Linked DNA regions of Notamacropus eugenii. The protein of the gene in region 1 binds, or shares a complex with, the protein of each later gene. Links are inferred from orthologs where the notes say so. Each region holds a gene or a part of one and is shown in the gene's direction. Other genes may lie near its edges. The genes, in order: TRRAP, SMARCA4, EPC1 and TADA2B.

Evidence for each region.
Region 2: TRRAP (region 1) and SMARCA4 share a complex: the UniProt entries of both Homo sapiens proteins name them as parts of the BAF53 complex. The link is inferred for Notamacropus eugenii from reciprocal best matches to the Homo sapiens genes TRRAP and SMARCA4.
Region 3: TRRAP (region 1) and EPC1 share a complex: the UniProt entries of both Homo sapiens proteins name them as parts of the nuA4 histone acetyltransferase complex. The link is inferred for Notamacropus eugenii from reciprocal best matches to the Homo sapiens genes TRRAP and EPC1.
Region 4: TRRAP (region 1) and TADA2B share a complex: the UniProt entries of both Homo sapiens proteins name them as parts of the TFTC-HAT complex. The link is inferred for Notamacropus eugenii from reciprocal best matches to the Homo sapiens genes TRRAP and TADA2B.

Annotation. Positions count from the first base shown.
Region 1 is NC_092874.1:393,973,808-393,981,072, reverse strand, and holds the start of TRRAP (transformation/transcription domain-associated protein), read left to right. Parts: upstream 1-4,250; 5' UTR 4,251-4,417; exon of another isoform or gene 4,418-4,752; intron 4,753-6,038; 5' UTR 6,039-6,086; coding exon 6,087-6,186; intron 6,187-6,327; exon of another isoform or gene 6,328-6,514; intron 6,515-6,589; coding exon 6,590-6,639; intron 6,640-7,265. UniProt on the Homo sapiens protein: Adapter protein, which is found in various multiprotein chromatin complexes with histone acetyltransferase activity (HAT), which gives a specific tag for epigenetic transcription activation.
Region 2 is NC_092875.1:79,002,468-79,009,665, reverse strand, and holds the start of SMARCA4 (transcription activator BRG1), read left to right. Parts: upstream 1-4,192; 5' UTR 4,193-4,625; intron 4,626-4,887; exon of another isoform or gene 4,888-5,162; intron 5,163-5,370; exon of another isoform or gene 5,371-6,206; intron 6,207-7,198. UniProt on the Homo sapiens protein: ATPase involved in transcriptional activation and repression of select genes by chromatin remodeling (alteration of DNA-nucleosome topology).
Region 3 is NC_092874.1:72,575,558-72,582,804, reverse strand, and holds the start of EPC1 (enhancer of polycomb homolog 1), read left to right. Parts: upstream 1-4,230; 5' UTR 4,231-4,529; coding exon 4,530-4,682; intron 4,683-7,247. UniProt on the Homo sapiens protein: Component of the NuA4 histone acetyltransferase (HAT) complex, a multiprotein complex involved in transcriptional activation of select genes principally by acetylation of nucleosomal histones H4 and H2A.
Region 4 is NC_092877.1:58,613,213-58,620,245, reverse strand, and holds the start of TADA2B (transcriptional adapter 2-beta), read left to right. Parts: upstream 1-4,024; 5' UTR 4,025-4,256; coding exon 4,257-4,769; intron 4,770-7,033. Other genes in the region: CFAP184 (cilia- and flagella-associated protein 184), read right to left, coding at 2,158-3,765. UniProt on the Homo sapiens protein: Coactivates PAX5-dependent transcription together with either SMARCA4 or GCN5L2.

The DNA of each region.
Region 1 (7,265 bases):
TTCCCTTTTTTGGGCATTTTCCCAGCCAATTACTTGAGTTCTGAGTATTTTTCAAAAGGAGGGTATACTCTGGGGACCTGTAAGTTCTCAGTTCCTCCAAGGTGGCACAATCAAGGGAGAGAAGTTTGCTCCTCTCCTGGCCTGTGCTCTTATCTGTGAGCAACCACAAGCACTCTATTCTGCCCATGATCTGCGAGTATAATTTCCTCTCCACACCTGCCTCCAGCTCCACCACACTAGCACTCTTCCTCAACCCAAGAGAGCCACTCAGGGCTGAGATCGAGATCAGCTGCTCAATTCCCCCAGGGGCTTTAAGCCAAGGGCTCCAAAAATAGAGGCTGCCACTGCAGTTGCTGCTGCTGGTGGGGCTAGACTCATTCCCTTCTCATGCAGGTGAAAGAGCTTTCTCACTGACCTTTGAAACTGTCTTTGATATTTGCGGGTTGAGCAATCTGGGAACTGCAGCTGCTGCTGGGGATTCCACGCCTGAGGTCTGTTTTGGTCCTGTCCCTGCTGTGCCACCACCAAGGCCAGGCTGCGCTCTGCTCTGCACCCAGCGTGATAAATCTTTCCTGTTGGCCTTCCCGGCTGTCTTGGGCTGGAAATCTCTTTCACTCTGTTGTTTTGTGGCTTCTGCTGCTATAGAATTTGTTTAGAGTCATTTTTTTACAGGTATTTTATGGGATATGGAGGGGAGCTTCTACAGCTCTGTCCTTCTACTCCACCATCTTGGCTCTTCTCCCTATAATACTCTTGTATCTGTATATATGCACATATGTATATGTATGTATATGAATATATATATATGCGTGGTGAGGAGGCACAGTAGATAGAACACCAAGCCTGGAGATAGGAGGACTGGAGTTCAAATTTGGCTTCAGACATTTACTAGCTCGGTGACCCTGGGTAAGTCCTTTACTCATTTGTCTCAGTTTCCTCATCTGTAAAATAAGCTGGAGAAGGAAATGGCAAACTACTCTAATACCTTTGCCAAGAAAACCCCAAACGGGATCACAAAGAATCAAATACAACCGAAAACAATAAAAATGAACATTTATACATACATATACATGCATATATATGTGTTTGTATATGTATACATACACATACATATATACTTTCTTGCATGTATACATTTCTCACATATATTTTACATATTTATATATGTAAGTATATATATGTTTTTTTCTATCCAATAATGTAAGATTAGGCAGAGAAACCAAGTTCTGGCTAGGAATTTTTCCTCACTGGGTAGGACTTTACCTGAATTCAAAATGGTTCATCTAAAATAAACTCTCTAAATCCAAAGAAAAGAGAACCAAAGGGGAGGGTGACAGAAGAGGGATTATATTGCTTTCTAGGCTTAAAATGAGCTAATTATTGTAAAGGGTATTACAATAGACTTGGTAAACAATCCTTTAATATAGTTCTGGGTTGGACACCAGTTATTTCCAAATGCTTTTGCAATTATCAAAATTCAATGAAACAAATTAAGGAGGATAACCCCAGAAACATGGATGTTTGTTTAAAATTGGAAACAGAGGCAATGTTACATTTGGTAGAAATTTCTTAATCCAAATGCCTTCCTGCATCATGGTGGAGGGTTTTGTGTAGCTCAGTGAAACTATGAGCTATGCTGTGCTGGGTTACCCAAGATGAACAGGTCATAGCAGAGATTTCTGACAAAATGTAATCCAGTGGAGGAGGAAATGGCAAACCACTTCAGTATCTTTGCCAAGAAAACCCCATGAACAATATTAAAATAATAAACTACATGACACTGGAAAATGAACCCCTCAGGTCAGAAGGTGTCCAACATGCTACTGGGGAAGGGTTCTGGATAATGGACAAAGCTCTCGTGCCTTCTCAGTCACCAATGGATTGAAACAGGGCTGTGTGCTTGCTCCCATGTTTTTTAGCATGATGTTTTCAGCCATGTTGACAAATGCTTTCAGTGAGAATGAACACAGCATCAAGGTCAACTACTATACTGATGGTAACTTCTTCAATTTGAAAAGGTTACAAGTCAAGACCAAAGTAGAGGGAGTGTTGGTGCATGATTTTCTGTTTGCAGATGACTGTGCACTCAATACAGCCTCTGAAGCTGAGATGCAACAAAGTATGGATCAATTCTCTGCTGCCTGTGCTAATTTTGGCCTAATAGTTAACACCCAAAAAACACAGGTGCCCCATCAGCCACCACCACACCATCCATATGTGGAACCATCCGTTACAACAAATTGAGAAGTGTAGAATGCTGTGGATAAGTTTACTTGCCTTGGTAGCGTACTTTCCAGGGAGGTACACATTGACAATGAGGTTGATGCACACATTGCCAGAGCTAGTTCAGTGTCTGGAAGGCTCTGAAGAAAGGTTTGGGAGAGAAGAGGCATTAGACTGACTACCAAACTGAAGGTCTACAGAGCTGTTGTGCTGACCTCATTGTTATATGCTTGTGAAACATGGACAGTCTACCAGCGCCATGCCAGGAAGCTGAATCGCTTCCACATGAACTGTCTTAGGAAGATTCTGAGGATCACTTGGCAGGATAAAGTACCAGACACTGAAGTCCTTGCTTAAGCTGAACTGGCAAGTATTCAAACTATGCTTCAGAGAGCACAACTCTGATGGGCTGGCCATGTTGTTTGAATGCAAAATGTACACTTGCCAAAACGACTTTTATGGAGAACCTGAATGGGGCAGGCAATCACATGGTGGTCAGAAGAAGTGATACAAGGACACTTTCAAAGTATCTCTCAAAAACTTTGGATTTGACTGTGCAATGGGAGACACTGTTACAGGACTGCTCAGCATGGCATGCCCACATAAAAGGTGCTGTGCTCTTTGAGCAAAGCAGAATTGAGACAGCACGAAGTAAATGCAAGATGTGCAAATTTGGGATATCCACCCCAAATGTTCAAAAGAACTATCTGATCAGCCACAGTTGGACACACTGAAATTTCACTTTACAATGGTGATGCCATTTTGGTGGGCAAGACATCATGCAAAATGCCAGGGTAGATGAATCAAAAGCTGAATTTAAGACTGCTTAGAGAAATATAAAAAATCTCAGGTTTGCAAATAATAATACTCTGATGGCAGAAAATGAAGAGGAATTAAGAAGCCTCTTCAGGGTGAGAGAGGAGAGGGTAAAAGCTCCTTTGAAGCTTAACATAAAAAAGAAAACTAGATCATGGCAACTAGTCCCATCACTTCCTGGCAAATAGAGGGAGAAGAAATGCAAGCAATGTCAAATAAATATCTGCAGGGACTGCAACCATGAAATTAAAAGACATTTGCTCCTTGGAAGGAAAGCTACAGCAAATTTGGATAGTATAATAAAAAGCAGAGACATCACCTTGAGGACAAAGGTTTGTATAGTTAAAGCTACGGTTTTTCCAGTAGCAATGTATGGCTGTGAGAGTTGGGATTCTAGGGAAAGCTGGGTGTTGCAGAAGAGAGGCTTTAGAATTGTGGTACTAGAGAAGACTTCTGAGAGTTTCTTGGGTATCAGGGAGTTTAAATCAGTCAATACTTTAAGAAATTAATTCAGGTTATTCACTGGAAGGTCAAAATACAAAAGCTGAAACGGAAATACTTTGGCCACATAATGAGAAGACTGGACTCAGTGGAAAAGACCCTAATATTGTAAAAGATTTAAGGCAAAAGAAGGGAATGGCAGAGGATGAGATGAAAAATAGCGTCATGGAAACAGTGCACTTGGACAGACTTGGAGAGATAGTGGAGGATAGCAGGACCTGTAGTGCTAGGGGTCCATTGAGTTAGTCAGACAGAACTGAACCACAACTTAATCCAAAGTGAAAGATCTTTCAGGCAGGGAGTGCCTCCCAAACCTGAGTCTCCAGTCCAATGCACACACTTTGGATTTGTTACCACCAGAGGTGAGAAAATAAACTGGGAAGATTAAGGAAATGAAATGCTACCTACTCATAATTATCTACTGGCGGCACTGCTCTGTTGTTGGAAGCGTGAAACTGACAAGCTAACAAGATACTTAGTATCTGTGGGCAAGACAATTGCTGGGATGTGGCAAGGATTACTTTTAGTCCCTTCCCTAGGGTCCTGAGCGATAAGCATTTAAATGGAGGAGCCTATGTTTACACTTTTTAGAAGGTCCCAGAACCCTTTCACTCCTCCAGTGAGACGTCAATTACCCTGAGGGTACTTCCTCCCCGCCCCCTACAGCTTCGAGCCAGGCCGCACCCAGTTCCCCGTAGGTGACACCTGACTGGTGCTGCATCTGGGCACAGACTTTTTGATTGGCTGCTCCGCGCGCTGGGGGCAGCCCAGGGGGAGAGTCTGTCGCTTTAAGCGGGGGCGGGGACTCCGCAGGGCGGCAGCTTTGCTCCGGGAGCCATGGGCCTGCGTGCTGCAGGAAGAGCTGCAGCCTCTCAGGGTGAGGGAGCAAACGTTCCATCCGAACGTTCCCCGGTGGGGGTGGGGGCTGCGGGGGAGGGAGTGTGTTTCCACGGGGTGGGAGGTGGAGTGGAGGGGGCCTTGTGCGGCCGGCCGGGATTCTTGGGCGCGTGCGCGGGAGAGGCCGTCCGGAGCCCCGGTGCATGGGAGCCAGGAGGCCTTTCTATCATCGGACGGACGTAGTTAAGGGAGATACTGGGACGGAAGAGTCCTGGGGCACCGAACGAGAGCCCGCTCTCCCACTTCCTCATACACTTTCGGCAGAAACTGGGCCGGGGGTTACTCTGAGGGTTTACATCTTCATGTTACTCCTAGGTAGGGTAAAGGGCTGGGGGGGGGGGGTATGGGGCGGAACGAGGGAAAGGCCGAGGCGGTTTTTGTACTTGACCCTCTACGGGCACCGTAGCACCGGCCTGGGCAACGGCGAACCCTCCTGTACTGCAACAAAGAAGGGAACCTGAGGAGCGTTTGGGCTTGGGGCTGGGAAAAGGTGCCTGCCCCGCCTTCTCCGATGTTGTGGAAGGGCCCGGGGGCGGAGGGGAGGCGTCTAGATTCCAGTCCTCGCCTCCCGGCGTGAAGCTCGAGAGAGAGAAGAGAGAGACTGCAGGTTTGTGGCGGCAGCGCCACCACCTGGCGCGGAGGCGTCCCCGCAGGCGTTGTAGTACAAGGGGCGGGGCGGGGGTCCAGGCTAGGGAGTCCTGTCTGAGGGTCTGGGGCTTACTCGGGCTTGGGAGGCCTGAGGCAGGGGATGCTGGGAGGTTTTCCGGAGGAGACTGGGAGGTAGGGGGGAGGGGAGGCGGGAGTGTGTATGTGGAAGGTACCCGGAAGTGGGCCCTGGAGGAACCGCTTACCTCTGACCCCCCTCCCATCTCTAGAGTTAGGCTCCGCCCCCCTCCCCGGCCGCTTTCTGGAAGGCGAAGGGGGGAAGGACGGAGAAGGGGCATAGGAAGAAGGGGAGGGGCCCTTTGGGGCACCCGACTATCCAAGCACTCCTGGAAAACAGTACCCCATCCAGAGCCGAGTCACTACCTGACCCGCTTTATTGTGGCTCCTGGGAGCCTCTGAGAAAAACCTGGTTTGGGGGGGCTTTTCCAAATAACTTTGCTAGACTCTGGGCTTGTGTGATCCGGGGGTGCCCCCTCTGCGGTGTCTCTGGGACCAGAACGGATCCACACAAGTGACATTTTGTTCCCATATCTCTGAGGGAGAGTTTTGGGGTCACAGGGAGAGCCACATCTTCTCTTTTCTCTCTAAGTACACATACTTCCTGACTGAAAAGAACAGGAGAGAGGGGCCTGAAAGTTAACTGATCTTGGGAAATGAGTTTTGTGACTTAGAAGATGTTTCCCCAGTTTCATTTAAAGTTGAGGAATTATGGACATTGAAGAAAAAAGCTACACGTTGCGTATGTTTAAGGGTCGCAGAATATGTGAATTTAGGTGAAAAGACTTTAAAAAATCATGAATTAAATGGCTTTATGTTGGGGTTTATAGGCAGAAATTTTTGAAATAAGCACGTTCAGAATTAAGCTTTAGGATGCTTATAGGCATATGTCCTTGGAAAACTGAGATATATATATGTGTGCCTTTTTGTAAAAATAGGTTGGCCCTGACTCCATTCTTCTAAGAAACACAAACTAAAAAAGAAAAATGGCATTTGTTGCAACACCCGCAGCCACAGTGGTTGACCAAACCACTTTGATGAAAAAATACCTTCAGTTTGTGGCTGCTCTTACAGATGTAAATACACGTAAGTTGATTTTTTTTACTCATTGCCATTTTAGGAAACATCATAATATGACTTATTTGTTCCATTATTAAATTGGAACGCATGGTGAGATAAATGATGATGGCATTAAAGCTCATTTTACATTTCCTTTTCCCTTTTCGTAGGGAAGCAAAATGATGGATACTATTGGTTGGAGCCCCAAAGAGGCAAATGTGTGTCTGTATATGAATGTATGTGCGCGCGCACTTGTGCCTGGATGTATGACTGGGTATGAATGGCGATAGGGACCTAGTTATATGCCTTTTTATAGAGGGCCATGATATTCAAACTGATAAGATCTGATTGCTTCTCTTTTACAGTAAACCTTAAAGTTGTAGGATTTAAAAAAAATGTCAGTAACTTGAGTATATTTCACTTTCTATAGCGGATGAAACAAAACTGAAAATGATGCAAGAAGTTAGTGAAAATTTTGAGGTATGTTGTAAAACTTTGTTTCTATTTTGAGCCTACGTCATAGTCTCTTAGTTTTGACTTTATCTGTTTAGAAGTATATTTGGTGACATATCCCCTTTTATTTTCAGGGCCTTACCATCCTTCTGTTCACCCATGTTCCCAGCATTGGGTTTATCCATGACTCTGGTCATCATTCCCTCTATACACCAATTTGCCAAATTTTGACATTTCTCCTTCCATCACGTTTCACATCCTTTCGTTTTTCGTCACTTATATTGCCTTTAGTCTTAAGGCAGTATTCATCACCTCTTGCTTAGACCACTGTAGTAGTTTCCTAATTGATCTCCCTGCTGCCAGTCTTCCCTTTTCTCCAATCCATCTTCCACACTGCCAAATTTATATTCCTAAAATACAAATTTGACCATGTCATCTTCCTACTCAGAAATCTTGGCGTGGCTTCCTGTTATCTCTAGGATAAAATAATGAAATCCTCAGCTTGCTGTTTAAAGCCTTCCATAACATGATTGCTGTTTACCTTTCCACTCTTGGTTTAGGTTACTCTTCTTCCTATACTCTGTATTCCAGTGGAATTGGCCTGCTCACTCTTCCCTATACCTGAACTTTCATCTCTTCATTTTGAGCCTTTG
Region 2 (7,198 bases), on another chromosome or scaffold:
AGAATTAATTTTAGGTTAATATGCTAACCATTGCTTCTCCTAAATACTGCCTAGAGTATCTTTCTGCCTTCTCTACATGGCAGCTTAAAGATATCAGAGAAAATGCAAAATTTCCTGATGGGACAGCTCGGGAGCCTAAGGGATTAGAGTGCCAGTCCAGTAGTCATGAAAACCTGAGTTTAAATTTGACCTCAGACAACTCACTACCTGTGTGTCCCTGGGTAAACCAACCTTTGTTTGTTTCAGGTTCTTCATCTATAAAATGAGGATGAGAATCATATCTATCTCCCAGGGCTGTTGTGAGGATCAGATGAGATAATTATAAAATATCTGACACATAGAACACACCTTATAAATGCCAGTTATCACTATAATGTTGTAATTTTGTAGAATTTAATCTCATTTCCATATGAATGTTTATCATAATTTTTATCCCAAGGCCAGCATTTAAAATCTCAGTGTAAAAAAAAATTATGACAATCAATCAAAGTAAATAATACTGTATTCAGAATACATGATGCTGTAAAGATCAGTTGCTCATACACTTGCTTTTTATATAAATTTAATAGGTAAATGCATAAGAAAATGGAATGTTTACTCAAAAATATAAGTAACAAACTCATTCATGAAGAGAGTGTTAACCTATCCAGACTGAAGCCAAATTAAATATGATAATTGCTAATAATCCTGAGATGGTACCTTGAAGGGCCTGACATTCACCCTAAATGTACTAGTTAGGAATAAATATAAAATTTATGATAAACTTTTTCTTTTAGAGTTAGTTGCTCATAGCATATAGTATAAAAGTAATAGTATAAATTTAAGTTGTTCAGTCATTTCCAACTCTTTGTGATCCCATTTGGGGTTTTCTTGGCAAAAATACTATGATTGTTAACCATTTCCTTTTCCAGCTAATTTTACAAATGAAGAAACTGAGGCAAACAGGATTAAATGACTTGCCCTGGGTCACACAGCTAGTAAGTGTCTCAGGTCAAATTTGAACTTAGGAAGAGGAGTCTTCCTGACTTGGGATCTGGCACTCTTTCCACTGAGCCACCTACCTAGCTGTCAGTTTTAAGTTGACATCTTGGTAATTCAATAATAATACAGAGCTATATCCTAATACCTCTATTGCTCTGGGCTTTAGAAACAAGTAAAGAGTACTTCAATTACAGTTACTGCAGGTTTCTTGCAACACATTCCACAGACCGTTCCCCTCCTCCCTCTCTCCAACAAACTTTTATTTATCAATTTGCAGGACAGTGGGAAGACAAAAACCAAAATAAAAACAGCCTTTACTCTCACATAACTTACATTTTACTAGACAGGAAAAGAGCATAGGCCCTTCTCGTTAACTAGAAAGCATGAAACCTGAAAATATTCAAAAATCTCCCTTCTCAAAATGTTAGAAATTATAGAAATGAAGAAATGGAGTAACAAAGTAGCTGAAATGGGATCAAAAGACTTAGTGTTGACAAGGGCCTTAAGCTACAGTGAGATACTGTGAACAGTGGCTAGTATGTTGGCCCAGTGTCAGAAAGACGTGTTCAAAACCTGCCTCAGATCCCAGTAGCTTTGTGACTATGGACCAGTCATCCAGGTGATTTGACCCTCAGTTTTCTCATCCATAAAATGGGGACTTGTTCTCCCTCCCTCACTGGACAGTTGTGAAGTTCATATGAGAATATATATTCAGATGCTTTGCACACTTGAAGGAACTATGTAAATGTCATCTGCCTAGTCCAAGACTCTCCTTTATTTAACTGTAAATATTTTATTAATGGTTTTTGTCTTTATGTCTACCATTTCACTGTCTCTCCTACTCTTCCAGTGGTCCTTTCTCTCCCCTATGGAAAAGCAAAAACATCAAATAGTGACCACATCATAAAATATATACAACATTCTAATTAGTAGTCCCCATCACTATAAAGAGGAAACAGATAAAGTGATTTGCGCAAGGACTCAATAGCTGTGGCTCATCTCTGAGGACAGCAATATGAATGAATATAAATTAGATATATAAGCTAGGAACTTCTTATGCAGAAGAAGCTTGGAAGAGCTTGATTAAATGATTAGTCTTCCCAGTAAAAAAGGTCTTGGAGACAGTTTCTACTTTCAAAACTTTCCCCCTGAAGTTAATTATTCAGGTGGTCAACTTTTCACCAGTATAAATGAAAAACATTCCAGCATGATTACTGCTTTCTGATAAACTAATAAGAGTTTTTTGTGGGGAAGGTAGGAGTCCAGTCTTCTATTCAAGTCCTATTCCAATCTGTCATCATGGTGAGGATATGCCAGCTGAGCATATTGGGAAGGTTTTGAATACAGTCTCATCCAACTGCCAGCCCAGCTGAGTATGGAAGGGGTTATTTTTCACATGGTTGTCCACGAGGTGACCTATTTTTTTTTTTTTTGGTCACAGCAACTCATGAAATAAGTCTACTAGAGCATAGAGGAGGTTGCAACCTGTGTAGACAGAACTACCCACAGTGAAGGAAGCAGGAAACCTTGCTGAGGTGTGGTGTCCTAGTTACCTCACATTCAATTTGAGCTACCTCTCATTGTATTCCCCACTAAGGCAAGGAAAGATCAGAACAATTAATGAGGCCATCCAGGATGTCTTTTAAGTCTAAACACTGAATGTACGAAAAGCTCTAGATAGATCTATCAATTCTCCTGGGCACTGCTAACTTGCTGGGAAAGCGTTTCAACAACTCCCTCCCAAACTGGATAGCCAATATGTGCAGGTAGAACCTGTGCTAAAGTACGGCTTCAAATTCTTCAGGATGCTTTCAATGCAACCCAACATTTATTAAATATCACTTATTAGGCATTTATGAGACAACACTGAAGTGAGCTCTGCTCTCAAGGAGGGGACATGCTATATGTACACAAGCAAACACACACAAAGCAATTTCAAAAGGCAAGGAATGCTAAAGGAATACTTCCCTTCTCTGTACTGGTTTCACCTGTAAAATGAGGGGGTTGGCCTAAATGTTCCTTCTCCAAGATCCCTTCCAGCTCTGAAGCTCGATGACCTAACAACTGCTGCCATTTTCACAGTGCTTTTCGGATTTGTAAAGCGCTTCACACACACTGTCTCATGTGATCCTCCTGGCAGCTCAGTGAGGTAGTTTCTGTTGTTGTTTCCTTTGAGACCTTTACTAAAAATACTGTTGAGAGGAGAGGCAGCTTGTCAAACACTTGGCTAGATAGGTTGCACCAGAGGGTTCTGTCACTGAACACTTCTGAGGCGTCCTACTCCACCCACTCAGGAGGGGCTGTGATAGGAGCTCCCTTGGATGCCTGCTCCAGCAGGTGCATGTGCTAGGGGTGCCAAGCGGATGATTGGTGCCTTAGTTAAATAAGCATCTCTCACACCATGAGAGGAGATAAAGGTGATTCTGAAACACACCCTTAAGTACAAGGCGTCAGGCACTATTAATTCAGTTCAGAGTGGATTTGTTTGAACTTGTGACAAAACCTGTTACCAAAGCTGCTTCTCTTCTCTCCTACGCCTCTCTCCAAGAAACCCCACCTGTTCTCTCTTGTGCTGGGGCTCTCTTCCCCTCTGGCATGCCTCTTATTAAAATGACTGAAACTTCTCAAACCAAAAGGAGTATCCCTAGATTCACTCTGCCCACTCCCAAAGGGCCTTCCTGCAGTTCCCACAGCTGCTCTCTCTACCCTCCCTCCTGCCAACTACCACTGTCCAGAGTCCTTTCACCTTCAGAAACTTTCTGGCAAAGCCCTCTTAGGAGGCTCTGTCCATTCCCCCGTTTTCTTTTGCCTCCCTCCCACTGATGGACCTAACAAAGTATTCTCTGCGTGAGCCCTCCCTCTCCCTCTGCTCCATCCACCCCACATGGCTCCCTAGGTCCTGTCCTCCCTCCTTTGCCATCCCCAAACTTCTCACCCCCCAGCCTCTTCAGAATTCTACCCGCATTCCAGACGTAGCCTCAAGCTCTCTCACAAACTCCAGCTGGATCCACCCTGATCCCACACACCTCCATAACAACTCCCCACAAGTCCTGACCCCCTAGCTGCGCAGACACTTCCTAACTCCCTCTTTCTCCCAGATCTACCCCAAATCTACCCTAGCCACTATCCCAAACCCTCCTGGGGGCAGTCTCTTTCCTAACTCCCGGCCACCCACAAGCTTTTGAACCCTCTCCACACCCTCACGAGCCCCGGCTGGGCCACGGCTCCCTCGGCCCCCTCTCACCTCCCTCCCCCAGGCCAGTCCAACTCCCTCATTCCACAGACGAGGAAACCAAGTCTCAGGGAGGCTGTGACTGGCCCAAGGTCACCCGGGGTGGGGCGCACAGCCTGGGCCTCCGACTCCAAAGGCCACGCTGCCCCCTCCCCACAATCCCCGCTCTTTCCAGTCCTTTCCTCATGCTCCTGCTCCCCTTCCTTGCCCCTCCCTCGTTCTCACCCCCCCATCCGAGTCTCCGGCCCTTCTTTTTCACTCCCCCTCCCCCTCCCCGCCTTTCTCCTCCTCCTCCGGTCGCCCCGCCCCACTCCCTTCGCCGCAGTGGCGCCCCCAGAGCGCATGCTCCCCGGCGTGGCCAGAGGTGGCGTTTGTGAGGGAGGGGCCCAGGCACCAAGGGGAAGGAGGCAAGGTAAGGGGTACTGGAAGCGAGGCTCTGGGAGCGTGCGCGTGCACGTGCGCGTGCCTCTCGGGGAGAGACTGTCCAAAGGGATGGCGGACGCGCACGCGTGTGCGGGAGCGCGCCCTCTTCCTCGGTCGGTCTTCCTCCGATTAGGGCCCCTTTTCCTCCCGACGCCTCCGAGGAGGCGGGGCGCGCGTGCGCAGCCCGCCTCCCTGATACGGAAGGGTGGGAAGTGGAGGAGGAGAAGGAAGATAGGCTGGGTAGCCGAGGCGCGCACGAGGAGCCGCTGGGCCGGGTGGGGGAAGGGCAGGCCAGTGCGCGCGGAGGAGGGGGGGGGGTGCAGCCTCGGAGGCGCGTCCGGCGGGCGAGCGAGCGCGGGATAGAAGCGGGCGCGCGCACCAGCTTCCCCTCGCTCGGTGGCGGCGTCTTTGTTCCGTGTGGAGAAGGGAGGACTCGAAAGCCAGCGACGGGCCCTGGCCCCGGTAGAGAAGGGGGGAGCGCTGGGGACGCGGGGCTGCCGGCAGTGGCGGCTCCTCCCAGGTCCGGGTAAGGAACCAGGCCCCAGGGATGGGCGTTGGGGGAAGGGAGGGGACGGTTGGTTTGAATGGAGAGGGGGGAGCGGGGGAGGGGGAGGACCACACAGTCGCCTTGGGTCGCACGGGGTCTACGGTGGCGCCGCGGGGTCAAGAAACCTCCGATGCTCGCTCTTAGTCTGCGATCGGGCTGGAAGGGCTGGCCAGGCTAGGCCCGGCCTGGGCAGGGCCTGGGGGGTGGGACGGCGAGCGGGAGAGTGGAGGAGAGGCCGCTTATAACCGAGGTCCTCACGGACAGCCCCCGCCTCCGGCCTCCTCAGTTTACCCTGCGGCCCCCCTTCCCTCTGCTTCCTCTTTCACACCTCCCCTCCCCCCGGCGCCGCCGCCGTGGGCACCTTTCTGAGCCTCGCGGGTCCTTTCTGCCCACCCCCACGTGCCCACCCCCGGATCTCTAAGCGCCGGTCGTTCCGGCTGGCTCAGAGGGTCCCTCCTTCCGAGGGGCTGGGGGCGAGAAGAATGAGAGAGAGAGAGTGTGTGCGCGCGCTCGCGCGTGTGATTGTGAGAGAGAGCACGCCGGGTGAGGAGCTCCGCGGCCCGAAGTGCTTCCCTCGCGTGGGCCCGAGAGCTGAGGCAATGGGGAGCGGGCGCCTCGCGGGAAATTTCTCGGAGGATTTCCAAACAAACACCGCGTGGGGAAGGGTCCAGGACCTTTGTTGTTTGAGCCCTCCCTCTTCCTTAACAATAGACTGTTGTTAGAAACACTTTGGGAGCTTGCTCTTCTAGTTACGGGAGTGAGCCGCACCTCCTCTCCAAGAGCACAGTGGTTTTTAAAAAATAAAGTAGAAAGACCAGAACATGTTGGATGATTGCGGAGTCAAGGGCTTTTTGAGCCCCTTGGTGTTGAGTCAGCCAAGCTAAAAAGATCAGCTCGTGTCACCCCATTTTTTTTTTTTTTGTGGAAAGAAATTTTGTTTTACGTTTTCGAATGGCCATAATAATGAAGTTATTTCAGAATCTCGATTGTGAGATGAAGAGAACGAGAATGGGTCACCGAAAGGTAAAAGAAAGAACTTTGGTGTCTTTAAATCTTTGTTCACCAAGACTATGTTCTGTGTAATTTTTTTTAAAGAAATGTAAATATTCTATGAGAGTGCTTTGATGCCCCAGATTTTAGGTATAATGTTTTACTTTCGTGAGAGTTTTCATTTTAAGGCGCCGTTGATCTTTTGTTTCTTTCAGAAAGAGTAAAAACATAAGTTCAACTTGTAGGTGAGATGATATTTATAAAAAACTCTTGGCACAGTGCTTTGCACATAATAGGGACTATATAAATTTGCAACATACAGAACTTTGATCTGTAAAAGGCCTCAGAGATCATATAGAGTAAACTAACCCTCCTACTTTACAGATGAGGAAACTGAAAATCTTACTACTTGTCCATTTTTTATTTCCTTTTGAAGTGATAGATCATCTTAGAGAATTTTAAGACTAGAACAGGCCTAGGGCCGGAGTTCTTAACCCTTTTTTGTGTCCTGGACCCTTTTTGGCATTCTGTCTTCTCAGAATAGTGTTTTTAGATACGTAGGATTACAAAGAAATTCAATTCAATTACAGTGAAATACAGTTATCAAAAAAATTTTTTATAACAAGTTTAATACTTAAGGTTAAGAACGTCTGCCTTAGATATAATCTGTTGCAACACCTTCATTCACTAGACGAGTTTTTAATGTGTAGCTACTAAAGTCTAGATAGTTTGAGGATAAACGCATAAGTAAGACATGGTAGAACTATGATACAAGATACAAGGAACTTTATAGGAGTTCAGAGAAAAGAGAGTTAGCTCCCAAGTGAGAAAGGAAAATATCTTGGGGAGGTAGAATATGAGCTGAGCCTTGAAGAACTTATAAACTTATGGCAGATATTGGAAAGAGGACATTCTAGAGAGGGTGACCTGCTTGAGCAAAGGTTTGGAGGTGGAAAAACTCAGGGTTCCTTTGGGAAATGATTAATATTCTGGTTTTGATGCACTATAGTATTAGATAATGGTGG
Region 3 (7,247 bases), about 320 Mb from region 1:
GCATTAAACATTACTACGCTGGTCTTTACCTCTATTAACCTTCTTTTTCATCAGTTTCTTGCAAGACTAGCAGGATGGAGATAAGTTCATTTACCAGTTTGAGAGTTAAAAAAATGAAGGTTAGGCTTGGAAGTAGCAGAAAATACCCAATCACTCCTGATTTTTTTGGTCTAAATTTAAGTGAAACTTTTTTCACTGACTTTTAACTTCACCACAACTTTAGTCTTCAAGTAATATAAAATAAAGTGCTTTGTACTTAGACAGCTTTTTATCTCAGAGGAACTCAAAGCATTTTATTGCTAGTAATAATTAATATGGACACTCATAGGCATCTCATGTGGGAGGTCAGTGTTTTTCCTCTTTAGAAAATTAAAAAAAAAAAGACCCAGAGAACTTAATGATTTGTCCAACATTAACAATGGAAATTTAACTATAATTAAGATGTCTTAGGCTAGCCCCATGACCCTCTCAAAAGGATTTTTAGAAACTGCAGTTTTGGTACACTTGTTGTGATTACTACATCATTCAGGAATAAAATATGAAACAATAAGTTAACTGCCTTTCCTTCAAAGGAGAACTTATTAAAGTATTTATTGTTTTACAGTCACAAAGTGTTTTACAACTAACATGCTATATTAACTTTTTAATTTTAGGAGCATCAATTTCCCTAAGAATCTTTTTTTTGGAGGTGGGAAGAAGTCTACATTTTCACAAACTAGTCCATCATGGGATTTTAGAGGAGGAAGGCATTGTTTAAAAAAAGATGGATTTTATTTTCCATAAACTAGGGTTTTACAAATAGTGATAAGATTTAAAGTGTGTGTATATATAACATATGCTTATATATATATATGCAAATCAGTCAATTGACAGGCATTTAACAAATGTGCTACTGTGTACTCAGCCCTGTGCTAGACATTTTGGGAGAATATAAAAGATATAGAAGACATGACATCTGCCCTCCAGAAGCTTATCATATTCTAGTTGCAGAGATAAAATATAAGACAACTAAAAAAGTTTTCTACAACTGACTATACAAGTAATAGGAGCTCAGAGATACAAGAGATTATCAGTCTGTCATTGAATTTTTCAAGCTGAAAGAAATCTTGGAAATAAAAGTGTAACCCTCTCCTCTGATAAGGAAATAAGCCCAGAAAAAGTCATTGGTTCACTATGGAGGTTAGACTTGCAATGGACAAGAAGCATTTTGAAAGGGAGACTGAGGAATAAAGGATGGGGGATTGCCAGAGGTGAGAATGAACATAGCATATGCTAATGGCAGGAAACTGATTGTCCTGACCAGCGAGGAGCATGACTTTTCGATGTTAGGGCAGGATGTCTGTAGGGGAGTCATTGTAGGTATTTGATCTGCAGAAGAACAACGAACGTAGTATTTTAGGAATATTAGATTGAGAGAATATTGTTGGATGGGCTGGCAAGAGGACAAGGTAGAGATAGGGAAAACAGGAAGTCTATTGTGGACTTCTAAGTGGGATGACAGTGGGACAGGAGAGAATGAATTGTATCATGAATTGTAGATATATTTTGAAGAAGTAAATGACAGGACCTGGTAACAGATTGGGTGTATGTGTAAACATTGTAAGCATGGTTTTATATATATATATATGTATGTATGTATGTATGTATATATGTACATGTGCACATATATACATATATACACCCACACATATGAGGGTACTTGTCTTTAGGTTCTGTTGGTTTGACTCTTTTTTTCTTTCTTTACTATTCATTAATATTAGCAGAAATCCCAGTTTTGAACTAGAATTAATGTTTTAGGTTTAGATTTTTTTTCATAACTTATGAGGATTATCACTTAAATCATTCATCATTTCCTTTCCATTCCCAGTGCTACGACTTTAGAGCAGACGCTATTCCATTACCCTCCTAACGTTCTCTCTTGTATTTTTCCATAGACCACTTCTCAAGTTATTCTTCTTAGAGGACAGCTTCAGTCACATTAGTCCTTTGCTCAAAGATGCCCAGTGACAACCAAATCGAGTCCAAATTCCTGATGTTCAAAGCTATCTGAAATTGGATATAACTCTTTTTTAGACTTACCTGTGAGCAGTTAGCCAGATATGGCGCTCTAACAAGATCAGACCTCTTGCTTTCCCCCAAACATGCATTGCTCCTTTCTTCCATAAGCAAACATCCTTGATCTCATCCCCACAGCTCAACTTCTTGACCCCTTATGTATCCTTCAAAACTAAGCTCAAATGCTACCTTTTCCATTCAAGTTTATCTTGGTCTAAAGTGATCCTTTCCCTGTACTCATGGTACTCATTACTGCCTTGTGTTGTGTGTTGTATTATCTCCCCTACTAGAGTAGTCATAAGCACCTGGAAGTCAGAGATTGTCTCTCTCATCTTGGTATAATAGCTGTCATGTATATATTTACAAGGAATTTCCTTCATAATAATTCTGTGAGGTAGATAACACAGTTCATCCATTTCATGGATGAGGAAATGGAGACAGAGAAGTGATTTGCTCAGTCAGAAAGCAAGTGTCTTTCCTTGGTGCTTTTGTATTTTACGTAACCCGTATGAAGCGCCTTGCATGTAGTCTATATTCTGTATATATTTGTGGGGTATATACTTGGGAATCAGCAGTAGCTGTTTTAAGGGGATTTACCTGTCTAAAGGAGTCATCATATTTGTTTCTGGAGGAGGAAGGATTTTTGTATAAAGTGAAGGGAAAGCTGACTCTGCTTTCTTAAGTTTGTTGAATCAATATTCGTTATATTAGCATCCTCCCGCTGGAGGGAAGTAGCGGCTATTGCTGTCCCCAGGATGGGCTAGAGCTAACCCAGGCCAGGAGGTAGCAATTTGCCCATTTGCCCATTTGCCCTCAGCCAGTGGTTAACGATGCCGACCGATCGTACTTATCTTGACGTGATGTGGGATGTACAGCCGGGGGAAATGGACTGAGAAGACGTTTTTGTGGAGTGAATGTGGGGATTTCTCTGCAAGACCAATCAGCCCATCCCGGACCATTTTAAACTGGGAAGGCTCTTGGAATCCCTATTCTGGCGTCTGGAATAACCCTTAGAAGACGAGTTCGCCTGCGTCTCATTCATAAATGACTAGAGGCGCTCGGGCTCTTGCTGTTTCAGCTGCAGAACGTCTTTTACGACCCTTGCCACAAATGGCATTTATTTAATGTGTGTAAAATGTTTTAGAAGAAAGCCTCCTAAACAGGACGAATGACCGTCCGTCACGGCCACTCGGGAAACAGCCTCTTCTTCTACCACCGGCGGGGAATCAGGACTTCGCGAAAGCCCCAGCACCGGGACAACTGGGGGAGAGGGTCCCGGCTTCGGCAAAGAGGAAACCCTTTCGGAACGTCCCCGTCCCGGTTACGTTCAGGATTCCCCTCCTCCGTCCGGTTCCATGTGCGTCTACCTCCCCGCATCTGCAGATAAAACAGAATGAAGCCTCGCGCGGGGCAGCCGGGTGTTTAATATTGACGCCCCAGCCCGGCGCGGCGGCGGGGTAACGGTGCCCAGGGCCGTGCCCCCCAGCAGGGGGGCGGCTCCTCGAGGGCAGCCCGTGTAGACGGCGCTGACTTCGCGACCGTTTGGTTTGCAGAGAAGCTCGAGTGGTGTCGGGGCGCGCGCCCGCCCGCGCGTGTGTCGGTGTGTGCGCGCGTGTCGGTGTGTGTCAGGGGGTGTGTGCGTGTGTGTGTGTCAGGGGGTGTGTGCGCGCGTGTTCGCGCCGCCACCTCCGTCGCGCCGGGCTTTTCTCCCCGAGGCCCCCCAAGTTGCCGGCCCGGCTGCAGGAGCGCGCCCCGGCCGCTCCGAACCATCGAGCTCTCGGCGGCTGCCCTCCCACGGCAGCAGCGGGCGCCGGGGCTCCGGGACGGGGGGCTCCGGGCTGGAGGAGCGGCCGGGATGGCAGGGGCCCCCCGGAGCCCGGCGGCGACCGGCCCCAGCGCTCCCGCGGCTCTCCGGGAAGCCTCGGCCGGGAGCGGGGCAGCCCGGGGTCCCGGCAGCGCGGTCCCCTCCGGACCGCGTCGGGCGGGAGCGGCGGCCCCGGGGCGGGGGAGGACCGGGGGGAGGAGAGCGGAGCAGGCAGCGGCGGCGGCGGCGGCGGGAGCAGCCAGGAGCCGGAGCCGGAGCCGGAGCCAGCCTGGGGAGCAGGGGTTGGCGGGGGCGCGCGCAGTCCGTGCCGGCGCCCGGCCTCGAGCCCGCGCTCCCCCCCTCCGCCGCGTGCCCGCGCCGCTGCGCGATGCAGTGTGGGGAATGGCTGGGGTTGGCTGAAGAGCGCACAGTGGAGTTTTAATGTCCGCCATGTTGGCCATGGCGTATTGAAGAGAGCGAGTGAGAGCGGAGCGGAGCGGCACAGGCACCCACCCTCCCGGCTGCGGTGAGGGCCCGGACGGCGGGCCCCACGCTCCGCCCCTCCAGTCCCCGGCAGCGGCAGGCGAGTGGGGACCGAGCCCCGGGTTCTCCATGATCCCGCTGGCCGGGGCCGTTTCCCCAGAGCGGAGAGGTATCTGCTGCGCCTGAGATGAGTAAATTGTCGTTTCGGGCGCGGGCGCTGGACGCCTCGAAGCCGCTGCCGGTCTTCCGCTGTGAGGATCTGCCCGATCTGCACGAATACGCCTCGATAAACCGGGCCGTGCCGCAGATGCCCACCGGAATGGAGAAGGAAGAGGAGTCGGTACGTGTAAACTCCCCCGCCCGACCCACCGCCAGGCCCCGCTCCCCCTGCTGCCTGCGGCGGCCACGGAGCAGTCAGCCCCACACAAAATGGCCGCCATCTTCTCTTCCCCGCCGACGTTCAGTCGCCGGCCCGGCCTTTACCCCGACTCCCTCGGCCTCGACCCCCGGCCCGCCGCGGCCCCGCCGGGCCCGCACCGGCGCTGCCCACCGCCGCCCCCCCCTTCGGCCGCTTCCACCCGGGACCCGCCGGGTTCGGGGGCCCGAAAGGCACAAAGGGGGTCACGTGACGAAGCGGCCGGCAGCCATTTTGTGGTCTTTAGTTCTTGGGTTGGGCCTTGTGCAGCGAGAGAGGGGAACGGGTTGGGGGGGGCGACGGAGGGGGGGAGCGGGGAAGGAGCGCCCGCCTGCAGGCCTCCCGGCTCGCCGCTGGGTGGCGCCGCCAGGTCGTCGGGGCCCTCTGGCCGCTGCCGTCGCCCGGGCCGCACGCTCGGGGATTGTGCTCGGCCGCTCTGGCCGGGAAAGCATTTCCGTTTCTAGGCAGCTCCCACGTGGGGCCTGTGGGAGGCCCGTGTTTACTGCAGGCCCCCGGAGCTCCTGTTTATTCTCAGGACCGACTGCGCCCCGCTTCGTCCCGTCCCCGGGAGCCCCTCGGAAAGGCCGGGGTTGCGCGGCCAGGCCGGAGGTCGGTTAGATCCGAGCCCAGGACCCCGGCCCCGGGTCGCCTCTTCCCTCCCCACTCCCCGGAGCGCTGCGGGTAAAAGCCATGGCTCCTCGTCCCCGGCCGAGCCTCCCGGAGGAACGGGCTGCAGGTTTGTCTGGGCCGTAGGGCTCGTTGCTCGCGAGGAGGGGGCCGGCGGAGGCGGCCGAGCCCCGCGGGGGTGGTGCCACCCCCGGCCTCCGTGCCAGGGCTCCGGTGGGGCGAGTTTCTGGGTTCGGAACGTTGTCCCTCCTGCTGCCTACTTACCATGTGTATTTTTGTTGTTGTTCTGGGCTTCATGGAAGCACAGGCAGAGCAGAAACTGTTCTTTTTTTAAAAAGTTGGGTTCTGAGGGGAGGCTCCTTAGACTCTCCTCTCTGCTCCCCCGCCTTCCCCTCGTTTTTCACCGCATAACTTGATGCCTTCTAATCCTAAGGAATTGCATACCTTGGTTTTCAGGTACAGCCACTTAAAACAGGGTGCAGTGTAATGACAATTCCAGGAAGTCCACGAAGCACACAATACCGCAGTTTGTGGAACAGTTGTCCATTAGAGCCCAGTGCTTCTAACAGACTTGTGTGTAACTGTACTGCAATGACTTTCCTTGGGACTGTAACATGAAAGATGAATTGTATGGTGGTGATTGCTCATTGTAATGTTACTCAAACAATAAAAACTGATGAAATTGTTTTGGTTGCTTAGAAAGTTAATAAATAGTTGTATCGGTTGAATGTTAACTTTTTTTGAAAGAGTAGTGTCAAATCTATCACATTTTCATGTGCACTGAAGGAACCTAGTGTAGTGTGAGGCGTGAAGCTTTCACTGACTTTCAGCACCTTCTCTGTGAGACAGAACCTCTTTAATTTTTACTTGTGTTAACTTTAGAGTAGAATAGTGCAATTTTTGTTTTGGATAAGTGATTTTAAAAAATTAAAATACTTGTGACCGCAGTATCTTGTCTTTTTGTTTTATTTTTATTTGTATGTAGGCTTTGAAAATTATCTGTTGTGGGAGGGGGTTAGTAGATGCTAGTATTACACCTGTTTAGATGCAAGTAGCTCTGTGGTGGAACCAAGAAGAAAGACCCTTCATTGCTTTATTTACTCCATAGGTAATAATCCTTTCAGGAATGTCTTGTGAATTAAATTTAGGCATTTCCAGGAGTGGCTCAGTTTTGCTTGTCTTGACACTGACTGCTTAAGTTGGCAGTATATTTGATTTTGCATTTAAAGTTTCAAATTTATGAGGGAAATTACATCCGTTGCAACATGCCATTTCTGTAGATTTGATGTATGTATTGCATATGTGTAGTTGAAGGCAAAATTCTGTTTACCATTTAAGTTATTTTTTCCATTTACAATTCGAAATTTGTTAGATTTCACTAACCAGAGAGAGAATGGATGTTAAAATAAGAAGCCAAGCTGAGGGGAAATGACAGCCACTAAAAGAAATTTTATACCAGAGCTACTCTTGATCTTCAGGTCTTAGTTTCCATATTAAGCCCCTAGACCAAACACTTAAGTGATCAGCACTTATCTTATGCTTTTAAATTCCTTTATAATATGGGGAAGTGAGAAAAATCTTTCATTGACATCTAGTTTTAGGCGCTTAGATACTACAGGTTAAATTGAATTGGGACCCTCCAGTACTATTTTCATGACAAAAAAAAAAAGAAACAATGTAGATTTACTTGGTAATCTGAAAAGAGTTTTGTTTACCATTAAACCTATCAAAAATCTGTCACTTAGACTAGGAACATACTGCTGCTGTAAATGTAAGCAAAATGATTCCAGCAAATACAGGTCAGTTAAATATACTACTACATAGCCATGCTCATTAAATGAATGGTGGGGGTAGAAAAAGATA
Region 4 (7,033 bases), on another chromosome or scaffold:
CCAGCAGTCTGTAATATGTGGGCCGTTATTTACGAGGGAGGGGTGGGGTAAAATGTGTGAAGGATTAAACGAGTTTATTATTGCTTATATGCATACAGTTCTTTACCATGAAGTTTTCATATTCATTACTTTACCTGACAATTACCTCCTGAGAGAATCCTGCCTCTGATACTTTATACCTGTGTGACTTTTGATGTCACAAACTCCCTGAACCTCATTTTTCTCTTTCATTAAATGCAGCAGTCAGCTATGATCTTTGTGACTTTTTCACTGGCTGTCACTTTCCCAACTTGGCCATCTCCTGGGTTCTTTCATATCCCACCTTCTGCAAGAGGCACCAACCTTGCACCTCCTCCCATACCTGCTTCCCCACCCAGTGCTTTTCTTCTGAGCTTACCTCCAATTTATGCCGTATTTATTTTTTCTGCACACACTTGAATGTTCTCTTCCCCATTAAAATGTGAACTTCTTGAAGGAAAGAACTGTTTTTGCTCTGTTTTCCCAACACTTAGCACACAGTAAAAGTTCAATAAATGCTTAACTGACTGAAGTCAAAGAGTTTGCTCCCCATTTTGGAGATATCACTTGGAGGGACTCAAAGAGATGAGGTGACTGTCGCCAAATCACACTTTTGTAGAGTCAGGGTTGAATTTAATGCAAGTTTTTGGACCTGGCCCAGTGCTCTATCTACTACATTGTTCTTCCTGATAGCTAAGTACAATTGTCAATTAAAAATCAACTTCAAATGTATTTCCTCCTGCCTCTACATTTTCTCCACAGATGGAGACTTATTTCCTACCAGCTGTTACAGAGTAGGTCACTCTCGGTATTAATTGTAAGTTTCACTTTCTAGTATTCAGGACTGTGTGCCAATCCATTTGCCTGGATGTATTTTAATACCTTGAGGCAAAGAGAAAAACGTTTGCAAATGAATGGCTTTCCTGAAAGGCTTTCACTTTTCAGGTTCAGATGAACAGGGAAAGAAGAAAGCAGGCCTATAGGTGGGAAGCAATGGAAACTAAGCTACCAATGAAATGAACTATTGGGCTCTGTATTACTAAAATGAGGACAGTGCATAAATGGCATAATTACAAAATGTTTTTAAGATATGGATGGAAAGTCATTAGAAGTTTCAGTTCATCTTTATTAACTCCAAAAAGAACATAAGAAAGTAATACTACCAAGAGAGTGCTTCTGATATTACAAAAAGGAGTGTTCAAAAATTGCAAGACCAAAAAAGTCTAACTTTGAAGTAGAATTTTCCAAACCTTTATTTTGATATAATCCAATTGACATGTTCCTGTTTTGTTTTTTTTTTTTTTGCCATTTATGCATTTCTGGACAAGGTGCAGAAGTTTAATGCAAAATATACTGAATTTATTTATTAAACCATGCCTCTTCTTTCCCATCTTTTCCAAACAACCTAATAACCTCCCTTGATCAAATTGCTTGAGAATCTGAGACAATTAGGAAAAGGAGCCCTAATTTAAGGCTGAGACTAATGCCAGTATCCTTTAGAGAAGTAGTCTTGGCCAAGAAAAAAAAGTATATCTGAGAAAAACTAATTTTTCTGCTAATTATTTCTGTTTTTTTTGTGTGTCTATAAACTACATTTTACAGAATAGTTAAATGAATGGTAGATCTAAAATATTTACTTAATGGTCTTAGTTGAGTGACTCAAAAATTTAAGAAAAAACTTCACTTTATGTATGAGAATAAAGTTAGTTTTCTCTGTTCTACCCCCCTCACTTCTTTTCACAGGAGAGGCTTCTCTGTGTACTTCCTCAAAGTGAAATGAAAATTCTGTAGTGGCTGATGATTTGAAATGGTGGGATAATTCAGAACTAAAGGCTGCTTGTCCTTTATTTCTACACTTCACCTAAGACATAATTTTTAGTCAATCACAGTACTTGGCTTCTTTGACCTTGTTTTAAAATTCATAAGATGTTCAATTCATTTAAAATAAGTTGTCTCAGCTTAGTGTCCAGCACTCATCTTAACATCTGTCAGCTACATATTTCAATATATAGTTTTTTTTCTCTCTTAACTACCACAGGCCTTTTTAAAAATGGCACTGAGTGAAAAATAAGTCCACTAAAGGTTCCTTACGAAAACTGAAAAGGTTTGCTGAAGATTCACATCAATTATTTCTGATGTTCAGGATGGTAGGAATGCTTTGGATTCCTTTATTTTCTGTTTGAGTCCTTTGCAAGAGAGCGTCAGCCCAGCATGCTGGCGCTTAAGTGTTTCTAGCCGCTGGCTGAGCACCTCAGTTTGGTCCACCTTTTGCTCCAGGTCCCGAAGGAGCATCTCTTTGCCCAGAAGTCCGCACTTCTGATGTAACTTGACATTATCAACTCGAAGGCTGTCTCTGGCTTTCTTAGTCTTGGTCAAGATGTCCCTCTTCTGGGCCACCTGAGCATCAATATCCATAAGCTCTGCCTTGAGGCGCCAATTCCCCAGTTCCACAAACTGTAATTTCTCCTTCACGTGGGTGATGATTTGGACGTTGCTGGTGACTTTGTGGTGGAGCTTTAATAGCTCCTCGTTGCGTTCCTCCACCTTCTCGTTGAAGGTCTGGTTCTCTATCTTGAGCTGCTCGAAGTCGATGAGGTGCAGCCCCTCCGTCATCTCCTCCTGCGCCTTCATCCTGGCCTGCAGGTGGCTCAGGCTCTGCTTCAGCTGCACGTTCTCCAGGCGCACGGCGCTCATCTCCTTCTCCTTGCGGTCCTCGTTGGCCTGGATCTGCTCCACCTCGCGCTGGGCCGCCGGCTTGCCGCCAGCCACGCGGCAGCTGCCCATGGCCTGCAGCATCACCTGCTTCTTGAGGGCCTGGAAGGCCTTCCACTCCTTGTCCACTTGGGCCAGCTTGTCCTGGCAGTGCTGCCGCAGCTGCTCGAGCTCGCGCTGGTACCACTCCACGTCTTGGCCGTGCTGCTTCTTCAGCTCCTCCAGCGAGCTCAGGTAGCGCTGGTAAGCCTGCTCCTTCTCGGGGGCGTCCTGGTCCGAGGACGTCTTCTCCACCTCCACGCCGGGCTCGGCGCTCTTCTTCTTGCGCAGAGCCTGGGAGATCTTGTGCTGCAGGTGAACGTTGTACTGGTGGATGCGGTGGCGCTCCGACAGCAGCCCGTGATACTGCTCCATGAGCTCGGCGCGCAGCTGCTGCTCCTGGAGCTTCAGCTCCTCCTCGTCGGGGGCCTCTTCGGCCTCCTCTTCCTGCTCGTACAAGTCCTCGTCCCTTTCGTGGGACTCCAGCGACACGTAGCTCTCCCCGTCCTCTCCCAGGGACTGCCTCTTGTCCTCCGGGATCCAGTCTTCGTCGCGGCCTTCGATGGATTCCGGGAGTCCGGCCTTGCTGGTCTCCCCGGCGTCAGAGATCGACGGTACCTCCTCCGCCGCCGCCTCCCCTTCATCCTCCTCGGCTTCTCCCTCATCCTCCTCGGCTTCTCCTTCATCCTCCTCGGCCTCTCCCTCATCCTCCTCGGCCTCTGCCTCATCCTCCTTGGCCTCTCCCTTATCCTCGGCCTCTCCCTCATCCTCCTCGGCTTCCTCGGCCGCCTTCGCCTCTTCCATGCTTCCCGGCTCCATCTCCGCGGGCTCGCCGTGCTCGGCGCCCTCCGACGGCGCGGCCATCGAAGTCATTTCCTCTGGCCCCACGCCGTCCGGGTTCCCTGCCTCGGGCACACCCGGCACCTCCACGCTCATTTCCTCCGGAGCTTCCAAAGGAGCCTGGGCCCCCTCGGGGCCCTCCTCGGGCAATTCCATCCCTTACCCTTACGTCCTCACCCCTCCTTCTCACACAGCTAACTCGAGGCAGGGGAAAGGAGTGCGGGGAATCCTCGGCTTCTCCTCTTCTGTTTGGTTTCCCGGGGCAACCAGAGGCGCTGCTGGCGACGAGGGCGATTGGGTTGTCTCCTCCTTATTCCGCCAATGGGAGGCCAGGAAGGCGCGAGAGCGTGGGGGAGGGCCGACCGGGCGGGGGCGGGGCGGGGCGGGGCGTGACAAAAGAAGCCTCGTCGCTGTCACCTCACCCCCTCCCTCCTCCCTCGCTCGGGGATTGGGAGCGACCTGGAGAAGGACGCAGGCGCAGGGAAGAAAAACGTCAGGAAAACGGTGGCGGGGGGGAAGAGGGAAAAGGGAATGCGCAGGCGCAAACACCAGAACTGTCTTTCCTCCATAAGGGTCGGGGGCGGGAGGAGGTTGTTAAAGGGTTTCACGCTTGCGCCGGACGCCCACTGGGGCTAAGCGCCTGCGCGATGCGGAGGAGGGAAGACGGCGGCCTGACGGGGTCGGATGGCGCCTGCGTACTGAGACGAGACATTCGGCTGGCTGGCTCCGGCGGCTCCTGGGCCTTGGCCGTAGCAGCAGCGGTGGCGGCTCCGGCAGCCGCGGCGGGCGGCGGCGGCGGTTGTTCCTCGTACCCGCCCTCGGCCGCCGGGGGAAGTGGCGGCGTCTCGGTGGGCGGCGTCGGCGGGACCGTCGCGGGCGAGCGGGGGAAGATGGCGGAGCTGGGGAAGAAGTACTGTGTGTACTGTCTGGCCGAGGTGAGCCCGCTGCGCTTCCGCTGCACCGAGTGCCAGGACATCGAGCTGTGCCCCGAGTGCTTCTCGGCCGGCGCCGAGATCGGCCACCACCGGCGCTGGCACGGCTATCAGCTGGTGGACGGCGGCCGCTTCACGCTGTGGGGGCCCGAGGCCGAGGGCGGCTGGACCAGCCGCGAGGAGCAGCTCCTGCTCGATGCCATCGAGCAGTTCGGCTTCGGCAACTGGGTGAGCGCCGCGGCCCGGGGCAGGGGCCCAGCCTTCCGTCCCCGCCAGGGATCCTGTCCCCCTCCCCCTCCGCATCGCCTTGTCATCCCCTGCATCCCTCTCCCTCCCCAGCCCCTTGTCATCCGTCCCCCATGCCCCCCTCCCCCGCACCTTGTTACCCCCCAACCTCATCGCCTTCACACACACTCCCTCCCGCATCTTGTCATGTCTCCCCCTCCCCACCTTCTTATCCCTTCCCCTCCCCAGGATCTTCTCATCCCCGTCTCTCTCCCCAGGACCATCCCCAACTTCTACCTCCTTTTCAATCTTCTTGGCCTCCCATGCTCCTGGCATTTGAGTTGGCAGGACCCCAGAGGTCGTCTAGTCTACTCGTACCTCAGCAAGAGTCTGAGCGAATATCCTGGTCCTGAGGCCCCTGTGGGAAGAGTCACGGTTTTGAAGAACTCCCTCCCTCCTGGGGCAGCTCAGTTTCCCCAACATTTTGATTGGGGGGGGGAAGGCTGGGTGTTTCCAATGTATTTAATGAAAATCTTCAATGACTTTCACCCTATTGCTCCTAGTTTTCTCTTTTCCCTCTTTCATGCCATAATCTTTTGTATACTTGAAGATACATATTGTCGCATCTTCTCTTGGAACTTTTTCCCTTGGAGTTAAAAGGGACCTTAGATATAATTTTTTCTAGGAGAGTTCACTTCTTTAAGAAGTGGCCTCTAGAAGAGAAATAAGGTGCCTAAGGCCACACAGGTAATAAGTGGCAGAACCCAAGTTCAAAGCCAGATCTCTCTGACTCCAAAATCCAGTGCTTTTTCAGTCCTACCATATTCTTTTCTTCCTGAGAGACAGGAGGGGACTGAATGCTCACAGAGGGCACAGTGGGAGCTGAGTTCTGCACTCCCACAAAAGGAAACGGTATTCAACCAGATAATTTAACAGAGTGTATTTTCCCCAGTAAATTCACTCTTTCCTGTTCAATGAAGCAAACCATGTTCATAGGAATTGAAGGGTTTTAGAAAAGAAAAAGGGCTTTGGAGGTCTAGCCTAAACTCATCCCTTCTACCCCCCAAGCAGTTGTCTTCCCCTCCCTGACAAAGTCATTATCCATTATTGAACACCTCCAGGGACAGAGCCAGTTACTTCATGGGCACATTGATCTAGTCAACAGAAAATTTAACTGAGAGAATGTTACTCATAAAATACTTTGCATTTTAGTTCTCTGCATTTCAGAATACCTCTGATACCTTTTATCTTTATCTTCAGAATATCACTTTCCATGGAGAGTGGCCTATGATAGAAACAAGAGTAGAATACATTTTCAAATTACAGATTGCAGTTGAGAAATGCTTCAACTCAGTTGAGTAAATATTTGTTAAATGGCTAGCCTTGTTTTAAGTAGTAGCAATATAAAGGTTGACTAATTCCAAGAGTATTACAATTCAGTTTGCATATTCCTTGACTTAAGAAATTAGTGACTCAAGAATGGCCCTTCAGCTCTCAGCGTCAAAAAGTTCCTTTAAAATAATTTGTCAGAAGAGCGGACATATGAGAATCATCCTTTTCTATTTATCAGAAAGTTATAATTAGGGATACTTGAGAAAATCTTGGTTTAATAACAAGTGTCATTCTTTTCAGTTTACATACAAGTAGGCCCTTAATTGGTAAGGCCTCCTCCAAAAGACCTACTTATGATTCTCAGCAGAATTCCCTCAGCAAGATGAAGGGTTGTGCCAGTTTGTTATTTCTGCTTCTGTAAGTATGAATGATTCAAATCTGAAGTGTAGCTCCCTGCGCAAATTCTGTTAGTCATAATGTTAGCCAGGTTTTGGTCATGGGTGGGAGCACATAAGGGGTTAATTCAGTTACAGGTATACCCCAGATGACATTACTTGTTGCTGAAATCATGTCAGAGTTTCATAGGAACAGTGTTATAAAAGTGTTAGGGTCAAAGCATCCTGATTATGAGGGATCGTCTGATTTTTATCGAAGGCACAATCTGTTTAATAATATTACAGTGGGTTTGTGCTAGGCTGCAAATGGGCTTTGATTATATACCGTATTATTCACATTTTTCTGAGACTTTGCTTGTCCAGGCAACGTAATAGAGGGTATACCTGTAGTGTTGCAGGTTTTAGTTGGGCTTCTGCCTCCAGGAATCATTTTGCCTGTGGCCATTCACGTTTGGCTCCTCTCAGGTTGCATCTATTTAGAAGTTCCTTTTATATTTATCATGTAAATGTAAGTTAAAACCTTTTTGATACTTGTGGCAT